7 linked regions of the Canis lupus familiaris genome follow. The protein of the gene in region 1 binds, or shares a complex with, the protein of each later gene. Links are inferred from orthologs where the notes say so. Each region holds a gene or a part of one and is shown in the gene's direction. Other genes may lie near its edges. The genes, in order: SMARCC2, ACTL6B, ARID1B, ARID2, SMARCD1, ARID1A and PBRM1.

Evidence for each region.
Region 2: SMARCC2 (region 1) and ACTL6B share a complex: the UniProt entries of both Homo sapiens proteins name them as parts of the BAF complex. The link is inferred for Canis lupus familiaris from reciprocal best matches to the Homo sapiens genes SMARCC2 and ACTL6B.
Region 3: SMARCC2 (region 1) and ARID1B share a complex: the UniProt entries of both Homo sapiens proteins name them as parts of the neuron-specific chromatin remodeling complex. The link is inferred for Canis lupus familiaris from reciprocal best matches to the Homo sapiens genes SMARCC2 and ARID1B.
Region 4: SMARCC2 (region 1) and ARID2 share a complex: the UniProt entries of both Homo sapiens proteins name them as parts of the SWI/SNF-B (PBAF) chromatin remodeling complex. The link is inferred for Canis lupus familiaris from reciprocal best matches to the Homo sapiens genes SMARCC2 and ARID2.
Region 5: SMARCC2 (region 1) and SMARCD1 share a complex: the UniProt entries of both Homo sapiens proteins name them as parts of the BAF complex. The link is inferred for Canis lupus familiaris from reciprocal best matches to the Homo sapiens genes SMARCC2 and SMARCD1.
Region 6: SMARCC2 (region 1) and ARID1A share a complex: the UniProt entries of both Homo sapiens proteins name them as parts of the neuron-specific chromatin remodeling complex. The link is inferred for Canis lupus familiaris from reciprocal best matches to the Homo sapiens genes SMARCC2 and ARID1A.
Region 7: SMARCC2 (region 1) and PBRM1 share a complex: the UniProt entries of both Homo sapiens proteins name them as parts of the SWI/SNF-B (PBAF) chromatin remodeling complex. The link is inferred for Canis lupus familiaris from reciprocal best matches to the Homo sapiens genes SMARCC2 and PBRM1.

What each region holds. Positions count from the first base shown.
Region 1 is NC_049231.1:853,929-858,180, reverse strand, and holds the start of SMARCC2 (SWI/SNF complex subunit SMARCC2), read left to right. Parts: upstream 1-1,452; 5' UTR 1,453-1,516; coding exon 1,517-1,627; intron 1,628-2,017; exon of another isoform or gene 2,018-2,045; coding exon of another isoform or gene 2,046-2,135; intron 2,136-2,373; exon of another isoform or gene 2,374-2,486; intron 2,487-3,388; coding exon 3,389-3,508; intron 3,509-4,252. UniProt on the Homo sapiens protein: Involved in transcriptional activation and repression of select genes by chromatin remodeling (alteration of DNA-nucleosome topology).
Region 2 is NC_049227.1:9,001,725-9,003,981, forward strand, and holds part of ACTL6B (actin-like protein 6B), read left to right. Parts: intron 1-58; coding exon 59-173; intron 174-315; coding exon 316-396; intron 397-492; coding exon 493-588; intron 589-775; exon of another isoform or gene 776-792; coding exon 793-879; intron 880-2,257. UniProt on the Homo sapiens protein: Involved in transcriptional activation and repression of select genes by chromatin remodeling (alteration of DNA-nucleosome topology).
Region 3 is NC_049222.1:47,265,147-47,268,646, forward strand, and holds part of ARID1B (AT-rich interactive domain-containing protein 1B), read left to right. Parts: intron 1-2,817; coding exon 2,818-2,956; intron 2,957-3,170; coding exon 3,171-3,343; intron 3,344-3,500. UniProt on the Homo sapiens protein: Involved in transcriptional activation and repression of select genes by chromatin remodeling (alteration of DNA-nucleosome topology).
Region 4 is NC_049248.1:38,138,762-38,141,585, forward strand, and holds the end of ARID2 (AT-rich interactive domain-containing protein 2), read left to right. Parts: intron 1-708; coding exon 709-853; 3' UTR 854-2,324; downstream 2,325-2,824. UniProt on the Homo sapiens protein: Involved in transcriptional activation and repression of select genes by chromatin remodeling (alteration of DNA-nucleosome topology). Required for the stability of the SWI/SNF chromatin remodeling complex SWI/SNF-B (PBAF).
Region 5 is NC_049248.1:42,021,776-42,025,275, forward strand, and holds part of SMARCD1 (SWI/SNF-related matrix-associated actin-dependent regulator of chromatin subfamily D member 1), read left to right. Parts: intron 1-931; coding exon 932-1,067; intron 1,068-3,054; coding exon 3,055-3,177; intron 3,178-3,500. UniProt on the Homo sapiens protein: Involved in transcriptional activation and repression of select genes by chromatin remodeling (alteration of DNA-nucleosome topology).
Region 6 is NC_049223.1:72,795,366-72,799,451, reverse strand, and holds the start of ARID1A (AT-rich interactive domain-containing protein 1A), read left to right. Parts: upstream 1-1,286; 5' UTR 1,287-1,301; coding exon 1,302-2,441; intron 2,442-4,086. UniProt on the Homo sapiens protein: Involved in transcriptional activation and repression of select genes by chromatin remodeling (alteration of DNA-nucleosome topology).
Region 7 is NC_049241.1:37,594,514-37,598,013, forward strand, and holds part of PBRM1 (protein polybromo-1), read left to right. Parts: intron 1-3,040; exon of another isoform or gene 3,041-3,180; intron 3,181-3,322; coding exon 3,323-3,468; intron 3,469-3,500. UniProt on the Homo sapiens protein: Involved in transcriptional activation and repression of select genes by chromatin remodeling (alteration of DNA-nucleosome topology). Required for the stability of the SWI/SNF chromatin remodeling complex SWI/SNF-B (PBAF).

The sequences.
Region 1 (4,252 bases):
CTTGAACTACTCAAGTAAATGTGAATTACTCTTGAGCTCCCTGATCCTTCTTGGAGAAGATGATGCTGTGCAAGAAATGAAACACCAAAAGAACATCCCCAACAAGTATCATTCCCCTCTAACCTCTAACCGGGGGAGAACAGGAGGGTTAGAGGTTAAAGAGGGAATTAATTCCCTAGCTTGGTTAATACACGGAGAATTTAGAACAGTGCTTGGCACATAAGGAGCATTCGGTAAAAACACACATTCGGGGTGTTCTCTGCCGCGCTCCAGCTCCAGCTCGGGCTGCAGTGTTGACGTTCCAACAGGCTGTCCTCCTAGCCCTGGAAACACCGAGAGGCGCCTCCTCACATCAAATGAGACCATGCCTTTTCTTGGGGCTCAATTACAACCAGACTTCCGGTCATGAAATCCAGAGGTGCCCTCTTTTCCTGGAAACTCTAGTTTTGAGTATCCTAGCACAACAGGCATCCACATTTCCAAAAACCTAACCCTTCTTCAAATCCTTTGCCATTCGTTTCCCCAAGAATGAAAACGTGCGCCAAAGCTCTCAGACCCGAAGCCCCAGGACGCGGCAAGTGCCTTGCGTCCGGGCAGACCGGCGGCTGTGCGAGGGCAGGCTTCCCTCGCTCACCTGCATCCCGCCCGGTCGTGGGGAGACCTCGGGCCGAAGGGGAGTGCGCGAGGGGCACGGGCGCGGGGCCCCTCGACGCCTCCTGAGCGAGAAAAAAAGCGGCCGTCACGAACAGGATTCGAACCTGTGCGGGGGAAACCCCATTGGATTTCGAGTCCAACGCCTTAACCACTCGGCCACCGTGACTCCCCAGACCGCGCTCCGCCGCGCGCTTACAGGAGGGGCCGCGCCCCCGGGCCCCCCGCCTCCACGGCGCTCCGAGGACAGCCGGGCGGCCCCCGGAGGGCCCGGCGGACGGGGGTGGCCCTCCCCGGGAGGACGGGTCTCCCAGGCGCCGGCGAGGCCTGCGGGGGGCCAGCTGGGGGCAGCGGCCGGCCGGGGCGGCGGGGGGCGGCCGAGGGCTCCTCGGGTCACCGCGGCAGGGGGCTGGCCGGGCGTGGGGGGCTCGGGCGATGGGAGCAAGGCGCTTCCTGGGCAGGGGGCCGGGGTGCCCGGGCCGTGCGGGCTCGGGGACTGGGAGCGCGGGGCAGGGCCGGCCTGGCTCCCCGGAGGGCAGGGCCGGGGGGCCCTCCGGCGTCCGCTTGGGGCGGGTGGGCGGCCCCCCGCGCCCTGGGCTGAGAGGCCGCGGGAGGAGAGGCTTCGCGCCGGGGAGGCCGCGGGGGAGGCCGCCGGGGAGGCCGCCGGGTGCGCCCCGCGTCGGGAGCCGCGCCGCCGCCGTGGCCGAGCGGCCGGCAGGGGGCGCTGCGCGGGCCGGGCCGGCCCAGGCGGCGGCAGGCGGCGGCCGCGGCGGCGGGAGGCGGCGGGAGGCGGGCGGAGGAGGAGGCGGAGGAGGCGGGAGCTGAGCGGCGCGGGGCGGGCGGCGGCGGGCCCGAGCCCGAGAAGATGGCGGTGCGGAAGAAGGACGGCGGCCCCAACGTGAAGTACTACGAGGCCGCGGACACCGTGACCCAGTTCGACAACGTGAGGCTCTGGCTCGGCAAGAACTACAAGAAGGTACGCGGGCAGGGCCGCGCGGCCGGGGGCGGGACAAAGGCCGCGGCCGCCCGCGCCCCCCGCGGCCCCCGCGGCCCCCGCGGCCCCGTTTCTCGCCGCCGCGCGGCGAGTCCCGGCGCCGACCGCCCCCGCCCGGGGCCACAGCCCTGCGGGCCCTTCCGGGAGAGGCGGCGGGGGGCGGACGCGGCGCCGGATGCCCCCGGCCCAGCCCGCCCGCCGGAGCTGCCCCGAGCCGGGCCGGCGGCGCTGAGGCCTCCGCGGGCTTTGTGTCCGCCCGGGAGGCGGTGGGAGCGGGCGGGTAAACAGGCGCCGGGCAGGCCGGGCCCGCGGGCGGCAGCGCCCCCCCACCTGTCCCCGCCGCCCGCCCCACGGGAGCCGGGAGCTCGCAGCCCCGGGCACAGCCTCCTGCCACCTCACAATGGAGCCCCCGGCCGCTGGCCTCGCACCGCTCGGGTCCGGGGCGCCGGGCCCAGGACGCTGCTGCCTCAGCCCCCGTCCGCGCCTGCAGGTGACAAGCGGCTGAACAAAGGGCTCAGAAAGCCTTACCTGACTTTCCGTCGAACCTCCCCCGGCGCTGTCTTTGTCTCGGGGCCCGGCCGAGAGGGCCGTCCGCCCCGGCTGCGCCCGCGGACAGCTCGGCCTCCGCCCCGCGCCGCCCGGTGGGAGGCTCGCCGTCGGCCCGGCTCTTCCTGCCCAGCTCCGCAGCCTGTCAGGAGCTGCCGGGCGCTTAGGAGTCCGCCCCCCGGCCCGGCCGCGGCCCTTCCCCCGCGGCTCCTGACAACCAGCTGCCGGGCCGGGGGCGCCTGCACCCCAGCGCGAGGCCTCGGCTCCCAGGCCTCCACCTTTGACCTTCCGGAAGGTCCGGAAGGGAGATGAGCGGGGGCTTAGTCTCTGGCCGGGGGGCGGGGGGGGGGATGGGGGGGCTGACGGCCCTTTGTCGCTTACCCTCTGGTGCGAGGCGCTCTCTACATCTCCCACTGAGAGGAGCGCTGGTCTCTGTGACTAGGGTTGAGGAAGCAGGGGTCAAAAGGTAAAGAGAAAGTTAGCCTCCTGGCTCAGATTTAAATTAGAACAGGAGGCTAGGATACTAGGTAGCGGCACATGGAAATGCGTGAGAAGGCCCGGGGTTGCTTGTCTCAGATACTGTTTCCTCAGAAAGCATCAATGTTTTCTTGCTCTTCCTCACCAGGCTGGGTAGGAGCTGGTCCTTGCCCCCTCGAAGGCGTTTGTGCCCAGTTCCTAGCAGAAGCAGAAGGCCCGGCTGGCACTCTCCGTCTGTTTGGCGTGCCTCACTTCCTTGCACCTTTCTTGTTAGGCTATGTTGCAGGGGGAGTCTCGGCCTCCACAAAGTTACCCCCAAGAAATACACTGTGGTCTGGCTTAGAGCCTCAAAGATACTGCTTCCTTTGCCTGCATTTACTGAACCTTCAGGATCTTACCGCCCTCAGTGCTGTTGACTAGAAATCAGGATCCTACAACTAACAACCAGTTTCAGAACGTAGCTGACAAGTAGGAAGCCCCACTTGCCTCCAGCACCGGCTGCTGGCAGGCTGGGTTGGGGGCAGCAGAATTTCAGCTTCCGGTGAGGGGCTTAGATGCCTTCCCTTCTGCCATTTTCTTTATAGAAACTAGACATGTGGGGGAAGGAGACACTATTTTTTCCACCCCAGATGCTTCCAGGGCCCCTTGGGAAAAAATAAGGGAGATAGTGGACAGTTTGTCTGAGGTCTACTTCTCTTCCGTTTGCCTCTGTTTCCCCAGTATATACAAGCTGAACCACCTACCAACAAGTCCTTGTCTAGCCTGGTTGTACAGTTGCTACAGTTTCAGGAAGAAGTTTTTGGCAAACATGTCAGCAATGCGCCGCTCACTAAACTGCCGGTGAGTGCAAATGCAAGGGGATGAATCCTCCAAACTGGAGAGGGAACTGTGGGGTTTTTGTAAATCTCATACTTTTGGAGATGTGGGTAATTGCCTGTTATCCCCATTCCTGGTCAGGGCGTTACTGGCTTGCCTTGGTCCCCAATTTACTCCTCCCTTTGTCTTAGTAATACTTGGTGCAGCGAGGTGCACCTGACTGGCTGAGTCGCTGCAGTGTGCTACTCTTGATCTGGGGGTTGTGAATTTGGTGTTGCGTGTAGAGACTTCTTAAAATCTCTATTCTTCTTAAAAAAGAAAAAAAAACTTTATTCAACAGGTTATATGTCTGAGCTCGTACATGAAACTCTTGTGGCATGGTTGAAAGGGTACAAGATTGGGATTTGCATTGGCTTGTGTTCAAATCCTGGCTCTGCCACTTGGTATCTCTGTGATCTTGGGCAAGCCATTTAAACCTTTTAAGTGTCTGTTTTTCATCTCTAGATGGGAATAATATCTCTACCTTGTAGGGTTTCTGTAATGGTCAATGAGGTGACCCAGTAAGTACGTGGCACAAGATGGGGCTTTGTGAATACTGGTTTTTTTCTTTCCCCCTTCTTCCAGGCCACGTGATACTGTGGCATAAGGGTTAAAGAATTCCACCTTTGGGGGCACCTGGGTGGTTCAGTCGGTTGGGCCTCCCAACTCAATTTTGGCTGAGATCTCGAACTCAGGGCTATGGGATCAAGCCCTGCATGGGGCTCCGTG
Region 2 (2,257 bases), on another chromosome or scaffold:
GAGGGTACCTCTGGTCCCCTGTGAGCACCCCCAGGCAGAGTCTCTTTTTCCTGGGCAGGGTGGCTGCGCAGATGCCCACGGTACACTATGAGATGCCCAATGGCTACAACACAGACTATGGTGCTGAACGGCTCCGCATTCCCGAGGGCCTGTTCGATCCCTCCAATGTCAAGGTTGGGTGGGTGGAGGGTATTGAGGTGGGGACTGGTTGGATTCCCTGGATGCCAACGTTGGGTGTGAGGGAGGCTGGGAAGGATCACTGGGGTCTGGGGAGAGAGGGCAGAGGCCCAAAACCCAGATCACCTTTCTTGGCAGGGCCTGTCGGGGAACACCATGTTGGGTGTGGGCCACGTGGTGACCACCAGCATAGGCATGTGTGACATCGACATTCGCCCGGTGAGGCCCAAGCCTGTGTCTGGGCCCAGGGGCCCAAAAGTAGTGGGGAGACAGGGAGGGGCTGTGCCCTGAAGGCACACTCCTCTCTGCACTCAGGGCTTGTATGGCAGTGTCATTGTCACCGGTGGAAATACCCTGCTCCAGGGCTTCACTGACAGGCTCAATCGGGAGCTTTCCCAGAAGACCCCACCGGTAGGAGCCCTCCCCCAACAGGGTCCTGGATTCCTGTCCTGGCTTAGCTCTCCAGGACCCAGTCCTTCCTCCTTCCTCAACAGCAAGTGTTCTGGCCACCAGAGCAGACCCCTCCCCCTGCGGCTTCCCAGTCTTCCCCACTTCTAGCCCTCTCCCTTCCCAGAACCCAGGTGTCTGCTTCCCCCAGCCCCTCTTTCCCCCCAGAGCATGCGGCTGAAGCTCATCGCCAGCAACAGCACCATGGAGCGCAAGTTCAGCCCCTGGATTGGGGGCTCCATCTTGGCCTCACTGGTGAGAGGAAGGGGCCTGGCCTCGCACTGACTGTGGGAACCAGGCAGACCCAGACATCCCATCCCCTTGTCCGCCTCCTTATTCATTCATTCAACAAACTTTTATTTTTGAGAAAGAGTAGGCTCCCAGAAGGGTGAATGCTCCATCAGGACAAATCAGGGAGCAGAAGGACAGGAAGCTGGAGAGATTAGTGGAAGTTGAGGCTATGGACGAGGCACCCACTATACTTAGCAGAAGAGAGACACTGGAAGTTTGGGGCAAAGAAGCAATGTGACAGTCACAGGCATGTTTGGGAAGACTATGTCCAGAATGAGTCTTTGGAGATCAGAGTATGAGCCAGACACAAGGGCACCTTGGGAAGAGGCTCTTTCCATTGTCCTAGAGTCACAGAGTGAAAGCAGTGAGGATGGGGTGGTGGGCAGGAGGCAGATAGAGGAGACAGGCAGGCTGGTTCTGGAGCAATAGGTGGTGAGTCCTCTCTGGACCTGCTGTGGGACACAGGCAAGATGCTGAGCAGGGAGCTGGAGATGCAAACTATATCTCATGGGTGTCAGCCACACAGACAGGACAATGGGACCATGACAGAGCAAGAAGGTCATCTCCTAGAGGGGCAGCCCCCAAGGAGACAGAAACAGGGGTCAGAAATACAGGAGGCTGACAGTGTGAATTCATCCATCCAGTTATTGTGGCCCCCCACCCTGGGTGCCTGACATGGTCCCTGCTTCAGGAGGCAGCACAGACCAGCTGCTGAGCCCATTAAGCAGGAAGTCACCTCAAAATGTGCAAGTGTTCCTTGAAGGGAGGGCCTGATCTAGTTTCAGGGGCTCTAAGGAGCATTCAAGCTGAAGATGGAAGACTGAGTAAGAACCCTTGAGGCAAAGAAGGAGAGAGGATGCTTGGGCCATGGGGAGAGGCAGGGAGACCAAAGGCAATGGGCAGATGCTGTCAGACCCAAGTTTAAGAAGCTCAATGGGGCCACAGAGTGGAGAGTGGCTTGAACAGTGGCCTCCACTGTGACTGGAGTTTGACAGGGGAGTGGGTATCAGGCTGTAGAACTGGGAGCTCATGACACAATGTGGGCAGCATCTGGATGTGAAAAGTTAGAAGGAGTCTAGGATGATGCCCAGGATGCTAGCTCCTGGCAGCTGTGTCCAACAGGAATTTAATATGAGGAGCCACATATATAACTTGAAATTTTCTAGTAGGCATATTTTATAAGAGCCCCAAGAATCTGGTGAAAGTTAAGCTTAAAAAATATATCTTATTTGGGTTGCCTGGCTGGCTCAGTCAGTAAAGCATATGACTCTTTTTTTTTTTTTTTTTTTTTAAGATTTTATTTATTTGAGAGAGATAGCCAGGGAGAGAGCAGGAGCAGGGG
Region 3 (3,500 bases), on another chromosome or scaffold:
GTTCTTAGAGTCCATTCTCCCCCTAAGAAGGTAATTATAGTGTATTTCTTATCAACACATCCAAACTAAAAAGATTCCTAAGAAAAGTACTAGATTGCTTTCTAAATGGCCACTCTGAAGCCACCTGAATTCCCAGCTCATTTGGCTACACTAGCGTTGTGTGTCATCCATCTGTATTCCGGTTTCGATCTGGTGTGGCCAGTGTGGACTGAACTTCCTTTCCGCCAGCCTCTGGGAGGTAGAACCCCTCGGCCCGTGATCTTCACCGTAGGGACTGTGTGGTTTCTCAAGCCAGAGCTCCATGTTACTGTCTTCCAGTGACTTGGGCGAGTCCATTGAGGGAAGCTCCCAGATGAAACGTGGGCAAGGCCTGGGGTACAGTTGCATTTCTGAGGTGCCAGTGGGGATCTCGTTATAATAAGCCTGTAAAAGTTCATGGAGTTCTAATGAACAGCTGCAGAAATCACCTCCCCAAGTGGCCTAGGAGGCCTGGAAGCTGGGGTGGGGTGGGGGCGGGGTAAAGGGGGGCCGAGGAAGCTCCACATTCAATTAGTAAGTCTGTAACCAAAAACCCATCCATCTTTGCTGGCAGGTGGCTGACTGCATTTCTATTATTAGCTGACAGGTGATGTCACAAAACCTGTCATGGATCCAACTAGGGAATCCTCAGTGGAAGATAAATGAGAAAGAGGTTCAGGTTATAAACAAAGGTGCCCTCTGGGTGACCTCCAGTCACTGTAGACCTGGGACATATCAGCTCTCCTTCCTTCTCCCTGCCCTCCTTCCCGAAACCCCAGCCAGAACTAGGGCACCAGGTTCGTGCTGTGTAAATTATCTTCCCAGCTAGGAGTCTGGCTGTACAGTCTGAAGTGTGTGAATGTACTTAACCTTCAATAACCTTTCCATTGTTTACTTTCGAGTATACATTTGTAGCTTCTGGCAAAAGGTAGGGAGAGCCTACAGAGTGTGCCAGCCTCGTCTATTAATGGAGCTTCAAGAGGTTGTGTTCATTTTTTTTTTCCTGAAAGGAGAGGAAAAAATACTGGCAGAGGGAAGAATTTTTCCTTTTTTTTTTTTTTTTTTTTATTAGCTGTAAATGTGAATACTTGTAAATAAGGGTCATTCTGAAATCACAGCCTGTGAACCATGTTTCCAGGGAAGCCGCACAGGCTGCTGTGGAGTGTGGTCTGTGATTTAAGGAGCACGTTATTTCTCCTGCCAGCTCTGTGGGGCAGTCACATTTGTAGGTTTATCCTTACATATTTATAGAAGACTCCACTTTTTTTTCTCTTATTACGATCTATTTATTTGATATGTAGGGTTTCACCAAAATCTGATTTATAAGCATGTGTTACTAAGCTTTTCTTTGGCGATATCTACATTAAAAAGATGATCTACTTTTCAAGCTAGTCTTCCCGGCATCTCTGAGAGCTGCCCTGAGTCACTCTAGTCCCGGGCACCCAGCGTACACCTTACACAGGAGGCAGGGCCCTGGTGGCCAGGGCTCAAGATTCACTCCCAAGCAGGCCAGGCCCAGGGCTGACCTGATCTCACTGGAGACCTCTGTGTTCCGCTGAGGCTTTCTGACTGGAAGAGCTGGACTAATTTCCACCTCGGGCTCCTTCCCAGCACGCTCTGTAATCTCCAGTGATTTGTTGAACCCCATTTCCTCTACAGTTAAATGTGGCTACTGGTAATTGTAGTGAGTGTCGGACACTCCTAGGAAAGGGACTCCAGATAATAACATATACAGTATCATCTTTGACAAGCAGCCAGTAATTTCTGCCATTTGTAACAGTTCTGAAAGCATTTATTATAAACTGCATGAGGGCAGGAATTTTTGTCCTTTTTGTCAGTTTGGGACACTGGTGCATCCAGGAATAGAAAAAAAGCAATATAGTAAGCAATGTAGTAAGCATGTTATTTATTCAATAAGTATTTGTTGAATTAATAAATGTAGGTAGTGTCTTTCGGGCACCTCACATGCAAAGGTCAGTGATAAAGCGGGAACCCTTAAAATACTATGTTTTCCAATGAGGTGAGTACTTAAGTTTTTAAAAAGATTTGCTCAATACTGAGCTCTGTTATTATAGTGTAATTATAGTTAAAGCCAAATCTCAGGACTCTGATGATGACATTAAAGAACTCCAAAGAGCATGACTTTGGTTTTGTAATAACAAATCTGATTCCAGAGCTCTAAAAATGACTTTATTAATGACATAGCACAGACATTGAGGAGGCATTGAAGTGATATAAGGCTCATTAAAAATTTGTATCATTGCATTTCAACTTAAACATTTCTCATTGCCTAAGACCTGGTAGTAATTTTTCTAACTTTTTTCCTAAAATAGCACAATAGTCCATCAAATCAGTATACCGAATTTTTCATCCCATTTTTTTTCCTTACTCTCAGACATTTAGATTATCTCCATTATAAACAACACTGAAATAAACATTTTTTTCTGCCTAAAGCCTTCTTTTATATTAGATTATTTTCTTGAGATAAATACCCAGGAAAGCAATTACCCAGTCAAGAGGTATAAATATGTTTTATGGCTCACAAATGAAGTATGTTGCCAAATAGATTACTAAAAACAAAACAAAACAAACAACTTTTACTAATTTTCACTATAAACAATATAAAAGCAACTAATTTTACTGTGTCGTTACCAGTAATGGATATTGTTACTATTTCTAATTCTAATAAGATGGTGTCGTGTTGTCTTTCCTTTTTTTTTTTAAATTAGTAGGAAGGATGAGCTTACTTGATAACTTCTTTTTTTTTTTCTTATTTTCTCTTGGTACTACTACTGTCAGCTAACTCAGGATCCTTGCAAGGTCCACAGACCCCCCAGTCAACTGGCAGTAACTCAATGGCAGAGGTTCCAGGTGACCTGAAGCCACCGACCCCAGCCTCCACCCCTCACGGACAGATGACCCCGATGCAAGGTGGAAGGTATGCAAAAGGATCTCTGTGAGCCACATGACATCAGATTTGTCTGTAAAGAAGAAGTGTGTGTCCTTAATGTTGAATACTACTAGTTTTATTCATGTAATTTTAGGGGATGGTTTTTACATTAAACATTTTCAAGTTAGGCCTATTTTCTGAACAAGCATTTGGAGGCATCTCCTGCTATTTCACGAAGCTTTCATTTTTCTTGTCTCCTTAGAAGCAGTACAGTCAGTGTGCACGACCCATTCTCAGATGCCAGTGATTCATCATTCCCAAAACGGAACTCCATGACTCCAAGCACCCCATACCAGCAGGGCATGAGCATGCCTGATGTGATGGGAAGGATGCCCTATGAACCCAACAAAGACCCCTTTGGTGGAATGAGAAAAGGTAAGTGCAGGGAGACCTTTGCTCAGGCTTGGTCCAGAGGGCATTCTTCCCTCTGCCATCCCACAACCAATTCACTTACCCATTCGAGACATATCTGAGTCCCAGCTCTTCAACCTACTAAATTCCCAGCCTTGGGGAAAGTTCGCAGTAGCTCCAT
Region 4 (2,824 bases), on another chromosome or scaffold:
TCTTTCCAATATCACTGATTTCTGCTTGAATTATTTCTTCTACTTACTTTGGATTTACTTTGCTCTTCTGTTATTAGGTTCCTAAGGTGAAAATTTTAATTATAGATTTTAGATCTTCTTTTATAATAATATGCATTCAGTCAATGCTATATATTTCCCTCAAAGCACTGCTTTCATTCATGGCATTCCACAGATTTTAACAATTTGTATTTTTATTTTAATTTAATCTAAAATATTTTTTAAGTTCTTTTGAGATTTCTTCTTGACCCATGTATAACTTTGTGTTACCCATGTAGTTACCCATGTATTGTTTACATCTTGGACTTGGGGATTTTCCAGTCAACTTTCTGTTACTAATTTCTGGTTTAATTCCATTTTGGTCTGAAAACTGACACATTGCTACTAGCATTCTTTGAACCATCCTTTATACATGTAGCTTCTCAAAGTGTATTAAAAGCAGCAGCATGTGGTACATGGTAAACACATTTGTTCACTGAAAAATCACTACATGGATACACGGAAGTTCTGTCAAGTTTAGAAACATCCTTTATCCATGTAAGTGTATAGTGTATTCCGTTCACCGAAGTGTGCTGAACACATCCACTCAATGAAATAAAAAATATTTAGTTTTTAAACTTGCAAAATCCATAAGGAATCATCACTGACCTTGGATACTGACGAACCTCTGTTTTTTGTTTTTTTTTTCAGATTGTTAAAGAGACATGAAAACAACTTATCAGTGCTAGCCATTAGTAACATGGAAGCTTCCTCCACCCTTGCCAAATGCCTTTATGAACTTAATTTTACAGTTCAGAGTAAAGAACAAGAAAAAGACTCAGAAATGCTGCAGTGAAAAATAATTCCACTTCTCTAGTGGGGACTCAAAGTCACATACATTTCACATACTGTTACTGAAGAAAGCACCAAGTCTTAATGGAACAGAGACCATAGAATGAATTATTTTATCTCCTCCCATGATGCTGAGAGGAAGCTTCGTATTCTGATCTCTGAGCGAATCCCTTTGTTCTCTGTTTAAAAAAAATCTAAAAAGAAAAAAAAAAAACTGCTGTGGGATTGTCAACCAGCTTATCTGCAGGATGTCTCTCAGATCTGATAAATCCTGATGGAAACTGGTATGATCAGAATTCAGTACCATCCACATTGGAATATACATGGAATATTGTAAAACCTACATGAGCAGATGAAATAGAAGCATTAAATATTTTTATCTATATCCAAAAAGGAGCACATTTTTATATTTACAAAACCGTTTAAGCTGGTTTGAATAATTAAAAAAAAATTTCAGCACACCTATACCCCCTGATCTCAGAGGGGGCCACCAATATCTAGCTATGGATTGTGTGTTTTGTTTAGAAATCAGTAGCTTGGTTTTCTTACTTGAGCCAATATATTTTCACTTATTTATTATCATAAAAATTTACCAGTCTGAATAGATCTTGTAAATATTTGTGAATAGAACGAACACCTTTCATGCCACTGCAGCCACTGGAAATACATTCTGTGGTGTCCTAGAAGCATTATTGGTAGGTTCTAAAGTTTTCTAGACTTTCCTGTCAATTGTAAGTAATTGTGATATATTCTACGCAGTGGATGAATGTTCTTTAAATTTGTGTAAATACTTCTGCAAAGGTACTGATGCTGTAAAGTCAAAACAGTTTTGTGGAACTGTGATTTTTTTTTCTTTTTTTTTCTTTTTTCTTTTTTTCTTTTGTTTTGTTTTGTATTATACACCTTGTAGAACTCATTTTGCTGGCTGAAAGAGTATGGAATAATATATCTCATGTCATTTTTGTAGAAGAAAAACTATTTGAAGGTATTTTTTGGTTTTCCCTAACATGTATCCACTGTAAACGTTTGTCATGTGCAAGCTCAGAGCTTGGACAGAATTTTTTGTATTTGTAAATTGGTTTAAATACATGGAATTTTATACAGGTTTTCTCCTGTGTTATATATGCATTATGTGCAGGTATGATATTTTCTTCACTACTTTTTCTATCTTAATATAGTGTGGAATTTTATTGTATTATTCTTCCATTCTTAATACTGTACCACATTCCTGCTCAGAAACTGCTCACTTCCTTAAATTGTCTTCTTCCCCCAGCGTGAAATGTATCCATTTATAACTGCCTATTGCCTGTTCTATTAGCATCCAAAAATGTGGAAGGCCTCCCAACCACCATTTCTGCTGTGTCCTTAGGATGTGCAGTAAAAAATATAGACCTAACAGTTTATGTTATAGAATGGCTTTATTTACTTTGGTGACTGTTTATAGTTTTTAAATAAAAGACTGAACATTTTCTTGAGTCCTTCATTTCTGAGTATGCTTAAGACATTCTTTTAAAAATATAGAGAGAATCCCAAATTTAGCTGAAGACAAGGTCCAGTCACCTATTTAATTTTATGTCATTTATAATACATTAAGTAGAGAACAGATAAAAGAGATCCTTTACATGACAAATTTGCATGAGATAGCAGGAGATTGAGCGTACTTTCCATTTGTTATAATGTAAAGCAAACCCAGATTATTGTTTGATACTGTGTTTCTCTGTTCATTCAGAACCACAAGGCGCCCAGACCTTCAACTTGAATTTAGGGACAGATTCCTAGAGTAAAAGGATATAAAAATTTTTTTTTGGTTTGGATGGATATTAAAAAATTTGGATATAAAAAACAATTTTTTAATGGTTTGATTCAACTGGTGTTGAAGGAAAATCTAATTTCTCCCTGCAGAGGGGATCCATGGCACTGCACTGTGCTGTGTATTAATGGATGCAAAAGAGACTTTTTATCCAACATCAGCCCC
Region 5 (3,500 bases), on another chromosome or scaffold:
CATTTCATCCCAGCTCCTTGATCAGTAAAACAACTTTGGCAGCTTGTAATCAACCAGGTTGGGAATATCTAAACCACAGAAATCCACAAATGCTGCAAATTGGCTTTTTTTCCCTCCCCTTTTGGAGAATCGGTTGCTAGACATTTACCAACTCATTGTGGATGGGCTACCATCTCCTCTGTGGTTGGTAAAACATTCTAACCTGAGGCTCAACAATTCCATTATCCTTTCCCACTTTTTTGTTCAGAAGATGTCCTTCAAGATTTAGTTGGGACACTCCATCCCACTAGATATGGGGTGAGGGAATGCCTTTCCTCCTCCTCAGAGCAGCAGGTGGTTTGGCTGTAGTCTCTTTGCAGCCTTTCCCTTACTCCATGTTAATTCTGATAAAGGCTTTCCTTTCTTTATATCCTGAACTGTCACTCAGCCAATAGTAACTCCTACAATTTATATGTTGGATCATTAGAAGCTGATCTCTCTTGTATTCTTGTGCTAAAGTTAAGCCTTTTGTGTAGTGTGTGTTTTATTTGAATTTATTTTCAGGGTCAATTTTGTTTAATAGGGAGAAAGATATATAAGATACTACAGTAGTAGTTTCTTTTGGGGTGGGAGAAACTTCCTTTTCACTGAATATCTTTTGTACCATTTGAATTTTTACCATTGATTTTTTTTTTTAAAAAAACAACAGCTTTATTGGGGTTTATATACAATAGGTCATACACTCTTGAAGTATAGTTTGAGACTGTCAAACATGACACCATGTAGCTACCATCACAAGGAAGGTATGGGAAATTTCAGTTATGTGCAAAAGTTCTCTTATGTGTTTTTGCTCTCAACCTCTTACCCTCATTCTCAGGCCTTCTTCTGGATCTTGTGTAAATTGGTCTTAAGGGACAAGCCCTTTACTAGTCCCCTTTGGTTTCCTCCCCAGTGTTGACCCAAATGATCAGAAAAAGACTGCTTGTTATGACATCGATGTGGAAGTGGATGATACTTTGAAGACTCAGATGAATTCTTTCCTGCTATCTACCGCCAGCCAGCAGGAGATTGCTACTCTAGACAACAAGGTAGGGGGCCCCAGTCCTGGGTACCTTGGGTGCCACCAGCCCTCTGCCACAGCTTCTAGGCTATCTTTTGATTCTTAGCACTCATTCAGAATGTATTAACACCTAATCTATGCCAGGCACTGTGCTTGGTGCCAGTTGGAGCTGGCTGTTATGATTCTGCTATAGCTTTTAATAGCTTTGAGCCTGTTTCTGAACTATGAAATAGACACTATCATTTTTTTTTTAAAGATTTTATTTATTCATGAGAGACACAGAAAAGGAGAGAGAGAGGCACAGGCAGAGGGAGAAGCAGGCTCCATGCAGGGAGCCTGACGTGGGACTTGATCCCGGGTCTCTAGGATCAGGCCCTGGGCTGAAGGCGGCGCTAAACCGCTGAGCCACCCAGGCTGCCCGACAGTATCATTTTTTTAATAAGATTGTCATGAGGATTAAATGAGACAATGTACATAAAGACGACACAGTGTTTGGCAAGTGAAAACAAATGGTAACTGCTGCTGCTACTGTTATTTTCCTCGATAGACATTGTCCATGAAGGTAAAGCTAGAAACCATTCTGAGGAACACAAAGGAGCACAGGGACGCTTTCCTGGATCAGTTGATACCCCAACTAAATCTTGAAGGACAAAGTGAGAGTTAATGAAAGGGGAGAAAGGATAGTGCCTAGGGGTGTGGGAGGCAGAGGACATTCAGAAAGAGGGAACAGGGTAGGTAAAGGTCCCAAAATGAGAGTGAGCCTGGCATGTTCAAGAAATACAAGCTGTCTAGTGTGCTAGATATATCTTAGGGTGCTAGGAATGGGAAGTTTGGGGGAAGGAAATTGGATAGGGAAGCAGGAGTCTAATTCTAAAGAAGCTTTAGAAGGGAAACTGGTTTATTTATACTTTGTCCCAAAGACTGGAGGTAGCGATGCTCTTTGCATTTAGAATGACCACTGGCAGGAAGGCAGAGAGCAAGTTGTAAGAGAGGCAGATCTGGAGACAGGAAGGCCACTGAGGAGTCAGTGCAGTAACGCCTGTGACATGGTTTGGAGGGCCTGAACTTGGGGTACTGACAATAAGGATGAAAAGAAGTGGACAGATCTCAGAGGTGTCAAGATTTGGACCTGCAGAGATTTGGATACTCTTCATATGGGGTCAGTGGAGTGTGGCTTGAGGGAGGAGAAGGCATTATGACTCCCACGGTTTTCGCTTGGATGCATAGTAGTGTTCATTCAGATTGGCAACCGGAGAACAGAAGTGAATATTGGGGGAAAGGTAGTGAATTTTGTTTCAGAGTTTCATGTGTCTTGAATTATCAAGCAGCTAGAGTGGTTGGAGTTTAGAAAGTGGACTCTGATCTGCAGACTGAGGACTCGTGAACCCATCAGTGGTAATGGAAGATGTGCCAGTGAAGGAAGTTGCCAGGAAGAGTATGGATGATGAGAGAAGGGCAGGGACAAACCCCCCTGGGCCATGGCTTTTGAGACAGCTGCCTGTACCACCGCTCCTACCTCAGAATGTTTTTGCGCTTATTTGTGCTGTGGATTAAGTATTCACCATGTGGCTTCACCTGTAGTGGACATTGTAGGGATCAGAAGGAAAACTTCCCTCCCATGGGGCGTGTGACACAGTGCACACAGCTGCTGAAAGAATGCCGTGTGCTGGAGCAGTTGAGGCTCTGGGCAGCACTCTGGGCCTAGGTTGGGAGTGGCTGGCACATGGAAATGCAGACACCATCTGCCATTTATTTTATTTTTATTTTATTTTTATTTTTAAAGATTTAATTTATTCATGAGAGACACAGAGAGAGAGAGGCAGAGACATAGGCAGAGGGAGAAGCAGGCTCTGTGCAGGGAGCCCGATGTGGGACTCCATCCCGGGACTCCAGGATCACGCCCTGAGCTGAAGGTGGCGCTAAACCGCTGAGCCACTCGGGCTGCCCCCCGTCTGCCATTTAAGGTCGCATTTCCCAGTTTGAAATGTTATTAAGCTTCCTTCTTTTCCTTTCAGATCCATGAGACAATAGAAACTATCAATCAGCTGAAGACCCAGCGGGAGTTCATGCTGAGCTTTGCCCGAGACCCTCAGGGTTTCATCAATGATTGGCTTCAGTCCCAGTGCCGGGACCTCAAGGTAAAGAACCCGGGAAAGGTGCGAAGGGACTTAGATCAGTGAGGCACACATCTGCTTTATTTTTGTAGCATCTGGTAGAAGAGCCAGAGGGGAGGTGAAGGACCAGATTTTCTTTAGCATGTTCTCGGGTCCGTTTTACAACCAAGTAGGGAAATGGAGGTGGAACCATCGAGTGTTCATCTAGTACGTACTATGAGGTGTCACTGGTGTACCGTATCGGAGGGGATGCAGAGTGGAAAACTGGATCTCTGCTTTCAAAGCAGCTTGCGTTCTGTTTGGAGAAACTAGGCTCATAGGATTAATGCATTTATTTATTTATTTAA
Region 6 (4,086 bases), on another chromosome or scaffold:
AATGGGGATAATCGGACCTCATGGCCCCCCAGGCCCATGGGCCTTATGAGGCCGGGCTAATGAGGGTAGGGGAGTGGGAAAACGGAAAGTCTGAACAATGATCTGTCATTCCGTTGGGCTTGCAAAGGGGATAAAATGTAAGGCCCTGCTCGCTCACTCAGCTGGGTCTTTAAGACCGGGTTTGTAAAAGGCTTTGAAGAAAAGTGCTGTAGAGGTGCTAAGTAGCAGCCAAGAGACCAGGCCCGCTGCCAGGGGGTCAGGCCTGGGCCGAGGCGGCCGCGGTCTCGGGCTCTGGCCAATTTTGCAGCCGCGAGTAAAGTTCACGCTGCCCGCTCCCCTCGGTGCGGCCTGGAGGGGACCGACCCGGATAGGAACGCCAGAAGGGAGGCGGCGCAGGCTCCGAGAGGCGCGGGCTCCGGGCCGGGTTTTCCCCGAAGCCTTCAGCGGCGGCGCTGCCGAGCGAAAGCGGCAGAGGGCCTGCCGCCGCCGCGGCTCGTTCTCTCCCCTCCTCCTTTGTGAGGGGAAGGGAGCGAGTCCGTTCCATGGCCTGCGCCCGCTCCGCGCTCCATTCCGGGTTTGCCAGGCGGCCGCGACGGCGCTGGGTAAAATGGCAGTGCTGAGCCTCGTGTCGGAGTGAGGGGGACTCGGAGGAGAGTGGGGCGCTCTAGCCGCTCAGTCCGGCCGCCCGCCCGCCCGCCAGCCCGCTGCCGCGCAGCAGCCTCGGCCCGCGCCGCGGCCGGGGAGGGGAGGCAGGGCGCCCGGCCCGGCCCGCGCTCCGACTCTGCCTCCCGGCGCCCGGGCTGCTGCCGCGCGCCCTCCAGCCCGCCCGTCCCGGGTCCCCCTCCCCCCGCTCCCTCCCTCCCTCCCTCCCCGCCCCCTCCCCCTCGCCTCCCTCCCTCCCTCCCTCCTCCTTTCTCCGGCAGCAGAAAGCGGAGAGTCACAGCGGGGCCAGGCCCTGGGGAGCGGAGCCTCCACCGCCCCCCTCATTCCCAGGCAAGGGCTTGGGGGGAATGAGCCGGGAGAGCCGGGTCCCGAGCCTACAGAGCCGGGAGCAGCTGAGCCGCCGGCGCCTCGGCCGCCGCCGCCTCCTCCTCCTCCGCCGCCGCCAGCCCGGAGCCTGAGCCGGCGGGGCGGGGGGGAGAGGAGCGAGCGAGCGAGCGCCGCGCAGCAGCGGAGCCCCGCGAGGCCCGCCCGGGCGGGTGGGGAGGGCAGCCCGGGGGACTCGGCCCCGGGGCGGGGTGGGAGGGGGGGAGAAGACGAAGACAGGGCCGGGTCTCTCCGCGGACGAGACAGCGGGGATCATGGCCGCGCAGGTCGCCCCCGCCGCCGCCAGCAGCCTGGGCAACCCGCCGCCGCCGCCCTCGGAGCTGAAGAAAGCGGAGCAGCAGCAGCGGGAGGAGGCGGGGGGCGAGGCGGCGGCGGCGGCAGCGGCCGAGCGCGGGGAAATGAAGGCAGCCGCCGGGCAGGAGAGCGAGGGCCCCGCCGTGGGGCCGCCGCAGCCACTGGGAAAGGAGCTGCAGGACGGGGCCGAGAGCAATGGGGGTGGCGGCGGCGGTGGAGCCGGCGCCGGCGGCGGGCCCGGCGCGGAGCCGGACCTGAAGAACTCGAACGGGAACGCGGGCCCTAGGCCCGCCCTGAACAATAACCTCACGGAGCCGCCCGGCGGCGGCGGCGGCGGCAGCAGCGATGGGGTGGGGGCGCCTCCTCACTCAGCCGCGGCCGCCTTGCCGCCCCCAGCCTACGGCTTCGGGCAACCCTACGGCCGGAGCCCGTCTGCCGTCGCCGCCGCGGCGGCCGCCGTCTTCCACCAACAACATGGCGGACAACAAAGCCCTGGCCTGGCAGCGCTGCAGAGCGGCGGCGGCGGCGGGGGCCTGGAGCCCTACGCGGGGCCCCAGCAGAACTCGCACGACCACGGCTTCCCCAACCACCAGTACAACTCCTACTACCCCAACCGCAGCGCCTACCCCCCGCCCCCCCAGGCCTACGCGCTGAGCTCCCCGAGAGGTGGCACTCCGGGCTCCGGCGCGGCGGCGGCCGCCGGCTCCAAGCCGCCTCCGTCTTCCAGCGCCTCCGCCTCCTCGTCGTCTTCGTCCTTCGCTCAGCAGCGCTTCGGGGCCATGGGGGGAGGCGGCCCCTCAGCGGCCGGCGGGGGAACCCCCCAGCCCACCGCCACCCCCACCCTCAACCAACTGCTCACGTCGCCCAGCTCGGCCCGGGGCTACCAGGGCTACCCCGGGGGCGACTACGGCGGCGGGCCCCAGGACGGGGGCGCCGGCAAGGGCCCGGCGGACATGGCCTCGCAGTGCTGGGGGGCTGCGGCGGCGGCGGCGGCGGCGGCAGCAGCCGCCTCGGGAGGGGCCCAACAAAGGAGCCACCACGCGCCCATGAGCCCCGGGAGCAGCGGCGGCGGGGCGCAGCCGCTCGCCCGGACCCCGCAGGTACACAGCTGAGTGGGGAGGGGGCCGGGGCGAGCGGGGTCCTGGGAGTGGGTGGCGGCTGCGGGGAGCAGGCCACAGCCTTGGGCTACCCCCAGTCCGGGGCCCCCACTGCTGGGGAGCTGCCATTGTCTGGCTCTTCTCTTAAAATGGCTGCCTGTCTGCCTTCCTCTCCTTCCCTCCTTCAGCCTTTGTGTGGGGCTTTCCCTGAGGTGTCTGCTCCCCTTCTCCCTCTCCCCTGGTCCCTTCGCGCTCCTGGGGTCTTCGAGGGGGTGCGGGGCAGAATGTGCGGGGAAGGGCCTGGCCCGGGGTTGAGGGGTGTGTTGGGGGCTCAGGTTGGGGTGTGCAGAGCTAGGAGCTCGGGAGTTGAGTGAACAATTCTTTGCTCACCTGCCGCTCCTCTCTGCCCGCCCTCCTGCCTTCCTCTAGGCCGTTCCCCATCTGTGCTTTCAAGGAGGGGCCCCTCGGGCTCTGGGGTACCTCGGGGGAGGGCAGGGGCCTGCTTGGGGGCAGCTAAAGGCCGGCTGCGGTTCACCCAGGGCAGCCCGGGCCATCTCCTGTCTTAGTCTCCGTCGGCCCAGTGGCCTGGGCTTCTCCCTGGAAGTGCTGGTAAACAGCTGAGTGATTGGAGTAGTAAGTGCAGATTGCTTTGGTTTGGGATTTGAATTATGGAGGTAAAATCCTTCTGTCAAAGCCAGGAGACAGTTGGTCTTAGGTTGACATCCTATCTGTGATCTGATTGGCTCCCCATCTCCTGCTCTTGGCCATTTATAATTGCCTCTGATGTAATGGTACAACAATCCTGATGAGCTCATAAACTTTTACACTCTGCTTTTCTGCCAGTGATAACCCAAACCATCGCTGCCACTATCTGCCTTTTATTCCAGAGCTGAAATTGGCTGTGACCTTGAGGAGGAAGGTTTAAGCAGCAATACTGTATCAGCAGGAGCAGAGCCCCAGACAGGCTGCCCTTGTTACATTGTGCCGAAACAAAAGAGGAGGCAGTGGCATTTTGCTTGTACCTTGGATTTATTTTGCTTGTTATGTTTTATGCAGCCTGAAATAGATTCTGTGTTGTCAGAACAGTAGCTGAGTTTTTCTCTACAATGGGTTTGCTGTTTGTTTTGGTTTTGTGACTTTCCTGGTGGTATAAATGACTTCTTTGATGGCTCTGAAGATGCATTTGTCTTGAGTAATTTTGACCCTGTTCGCGTTGCAGAATTGAGATTATTTTACTGGGATTTTTATTGAGTGACAAATGTGGGATCTTTATGGGAGGGGGTAGAAGAAAACTTTTTTTTTCTTTTTCTTTTTTTTTTTTTTTTTTTTTGAACTGGAAGCTTCCTGAGAGAATTTCATATTACGTTCAAGTGTTCTGTTTTAAGGAAGACTGGCCTCATTCTTTGTTTACATGTTGAATCTTGTTAACTCTTTTGTTAATTGAACTTTGAGAAAGCAGCTCAATTTAAAGAGAAGCCGATATCTTTTATGATCTTGGGAGGGACTTTCTCCTAAAGGCCTGGTTTGGTAAAATTTATCATTTGTTCCTGGGATATCAAAAAGGCTAGTTTTCTGTTTTGTCATCAGTCACTTTAGAGCTTTGAGATAGAGGTCAACTAATTTTTTCTTTGCATTTTAAGGTATGTTC
Region 7 (3,500 bases), on another chromosome or scaffold:
TCTTTTAACCCTTTTAAGAGACCTATAATTATAATACTGTTTAAATTATTTCAAAGCATGGAGAACAAAGAAAACTTCCCAGTTTATTTTACAACAAAACTAGGATGATCCTAATTCCAAAGCCTGACAAAATAAAACAGAAAAGGTACAGTTCAATCTAACTTACGAATTTTGATGCAAAAAATACTTGGAGAAAATGGTTTTTTATTTATAAGTGAAATCAAATTAGTTATTTAAGAATAATATGACCAAGTAGGTAAGAGTTCATTCTAGAAATGCAAGGATTGGTCAGAATGAGGAAAATTCAGTAATATACATCATTATATTAATAGATCAAAGGAGAGATTATTTGATAAAGTACAGCAACTGTATTTAAGTCTTTAGATGGTATTTCCTCAAAGTGATTTTTTTTAAGTTATATTTGTTTCTTATGCCTAAAGCCTGCTTGCTCTACGGTTACCTATATTTTTCCAAAAGTAGCCAATGCAGACCAAAATAGCAAAATATTGACAATAAAGTGGCAATCATAAAGATCATAGGGGAGCACTTAACTAAAGTTTTGAAAAACAGGATTCAACAAAGGAATTTCAAAATCCATATACGAGTCAATAACTTTTTTTTTGTAAGATTTATTTATTGATTTATTTGAAACAGAGAGAGACAGCAAAAGAGAGTACAAGCAGTTAGGAGAGGGAGAAGCAGGCTCCCCACTAAGCAGGGAGCCCAATGTGGGGCTCAGTTCCAGGGCCCTCGGATCATGACCAGAGCCGAAGGCAGACGCTCAATCACCTCAGCCACCCAGACACCCAGTAGCTTTTTTATATAAACCAAACTATAATTCACAGGACTCTTGAAAGTAAAATGAAAACGTTGACTATCATGTTGAATATATTTTATCAACTGTTAGGATAATCATATAGAAGAAAATACCTGATTCACCTTAACAACAAAATACATTGAGAAATAACCTTAAAAGGAATACTTGGAACCTATGGGACGAGAAACCGGCCACTCAAGGATGTAAAAGATTTGGATAAATTGTTTTCAGAATTTGACAAAATGAGGGCACCTGGGTGGCTCAGTTGGTTAAGCCTCTGCCTTTGGCTCAGGTCATGATCTTGGGGTCTTGGGATCAAGCTCCACATTGGGCTCCCTGCTCAGCGGGGAGCCTGCTTCTCCCTCTCCCTTTGCTACTCCCCCGCTTGTATTCTCTTGCTTGTGCTCTCTCTCAAATAAATAAAATCTTAAAAAACAAAACAAAACTTGGAAAAAATAGACTTCTTAGTGTCTTAGAAAAGAAATCCATTTTACTGTCCTAACAGTGTTACAAGAGAAAGGGAGCTGAGGAAAACGTGATCTTCTTTACACTTTACTAGTATGTTTGGGAGTTATAGAGATGTTAATTTTGAAAGAATAAGAAATACCAATGGAAGCCAACATGGGAATTAACCCACATTTCTTATTAGAATTCATAAGACTCCAAGGTCCTCTATGTGCATGCAATTTTTTTCCTTTTGTCTCCTGTCTTTATTTTAATACTGCCTGACCGAAACAAGTCATTCCTGGAACTTTTTAAAAGAATACCTTCAGCAGGTAGAGCATGCAGCTCTCATTCTTGGGGTTGTGAGTTCCAGCCACATTTTGGGCAGAGAGGTTACTTTAAAAAAAAAAAAAAAACCTTCAGAACACAACCAACCCATTTCCAAAAGAGAAAGTTATTCTTAATTTTGGGGCTACTTTATAGCTCCCATTCCTATAGATTTCCCCTCACCCATTATATGTGTGACCTCATGCATTCTTCAGGATTTTCCAGAAGAACCATTTATATATCACATCTGAAGTCATAAAGATCAAAACAAATTGTTTGGACCTTCTGAAGGATATTTTTCTTTTTTTCAGTTTGAAGTTCAGATACTCTCAAGGAGATGCAGTAGAAAATGTTGGGGTTCTGGAGTTTCCTCAGCTTTTATATGTTTTGGAATTAGTATGTTTAAAACACCTCATGCTTTGCCTATTCTCTGCATCAGATCAGAACTGTCCTTTTTTCTTTTTCTTGTTTTAAGATTTTATTTATTTGTTTGAGAGAGAGAGAGAGAGAGAGACAGAGAGAGACAGAGCATGAGCCAGGGGAGTGGCAGAGAGGAAGGAGAAGCAGACTCCCCGCTGAGCACAGAGGGCAATGCAAGGCTCCATCCCAGGATCCTGAGATCATGGCCTGAGCTGAAGTCAGACGCTTCACTGAGCTATCCAGGCTACCCTTTTCATTTTCTATTTTTTGCCAAAACTATAAAACCACAATAATGAATGTGCATTCAAGGCTTTTCCTAAGTCAGACATTGTTCTGCATACTTGATGTGGAGTATGTCATTGAATCTTCCTAACAGCCCCATATGATGGGTACGCTGCCTTTGTTTTATAGGTGACCTAACAGGTCAAGTAATTAGCCCAGCATCACAGCAGCCAGTAGGTGACAGAGCTTGTTATTTATTTAGAAACAGAGTGTATGTGTTTATATCACAGAGGCTATACTTTTCCATCCCAGAATAAATAAAAATGATAACTTTATTTTTATTAATGATAATTTAAAACCATTAGTTGTTAATGTTAAAAAATTGAGAGTTTGGGGGGAAAAAAATTGAGAGTTTGGGACACCTGGGTGGCTCAGCAGTTGAGTGTGTGCCTTTGGCCCAGGGCCTGATCCGGGGATCTGGGATCAAGTCCCACAATGGGCTCCTTGCAGGGAGCCTGCTTCTCCCTCCATCTGTGTCTCTGCCTCTCTCTCTCTCCCCCCCCCCTTTGTCTTTCATGAATAAATAAATAAAATCTTTTTTTTTAAAAATTGAGAGCTCAATAAATGTAGTGAAGAGGAAGCTCGTGCAGAATTTGCTCTTTATGCTCCATAGCAGTGTATGAGTGAGACTGCTCTTGAATGCTGATCCATTCTGTGTGGTACTTTTTTTGCTGAAGGCTATGGGAATGGGGGGGATTGGGCAAAGGGATAAAAGGACCTTGGAGTAACATTTTATGAAACTTAAGCAGAAGCGTTGTACAGTGGCAGTATCGTAGCCAATGAGATTTATCTGAGGCACGATTATTTGCTAATTGAAACATAAGTAGAAATTTAAAATAAATGCAGTATTTAAGAAGACTCAGTTTGATTTCAGAACCCCAATCTTTAGGCTTCCAATCTTCATCAAAACATCTACTTATAGTTATTTTTTTCTTTTAAGTTAATATGGAAAGTCAGCTTTTCTTTCTTAACTTTCTCTGTCTCCTCCTTGATCGTCAGCTGTCTATCTTCAACCAGTTTCCTTTACCACAGGAGAAAGAAGATGTCCCTGTGGAAATGTCAAACGGTGAACCAGGTTGCCACTACTTTGAGCAACTCCGTTACAATGACATGTGGCTAAAGGTTGGCGACTGTGTCTTCATCAAATCCCATGGCCTGGTGCGCCCTCGAGTGGGCAGGTGGGTGTTACTGAATCAGGGAGGATGCAGTT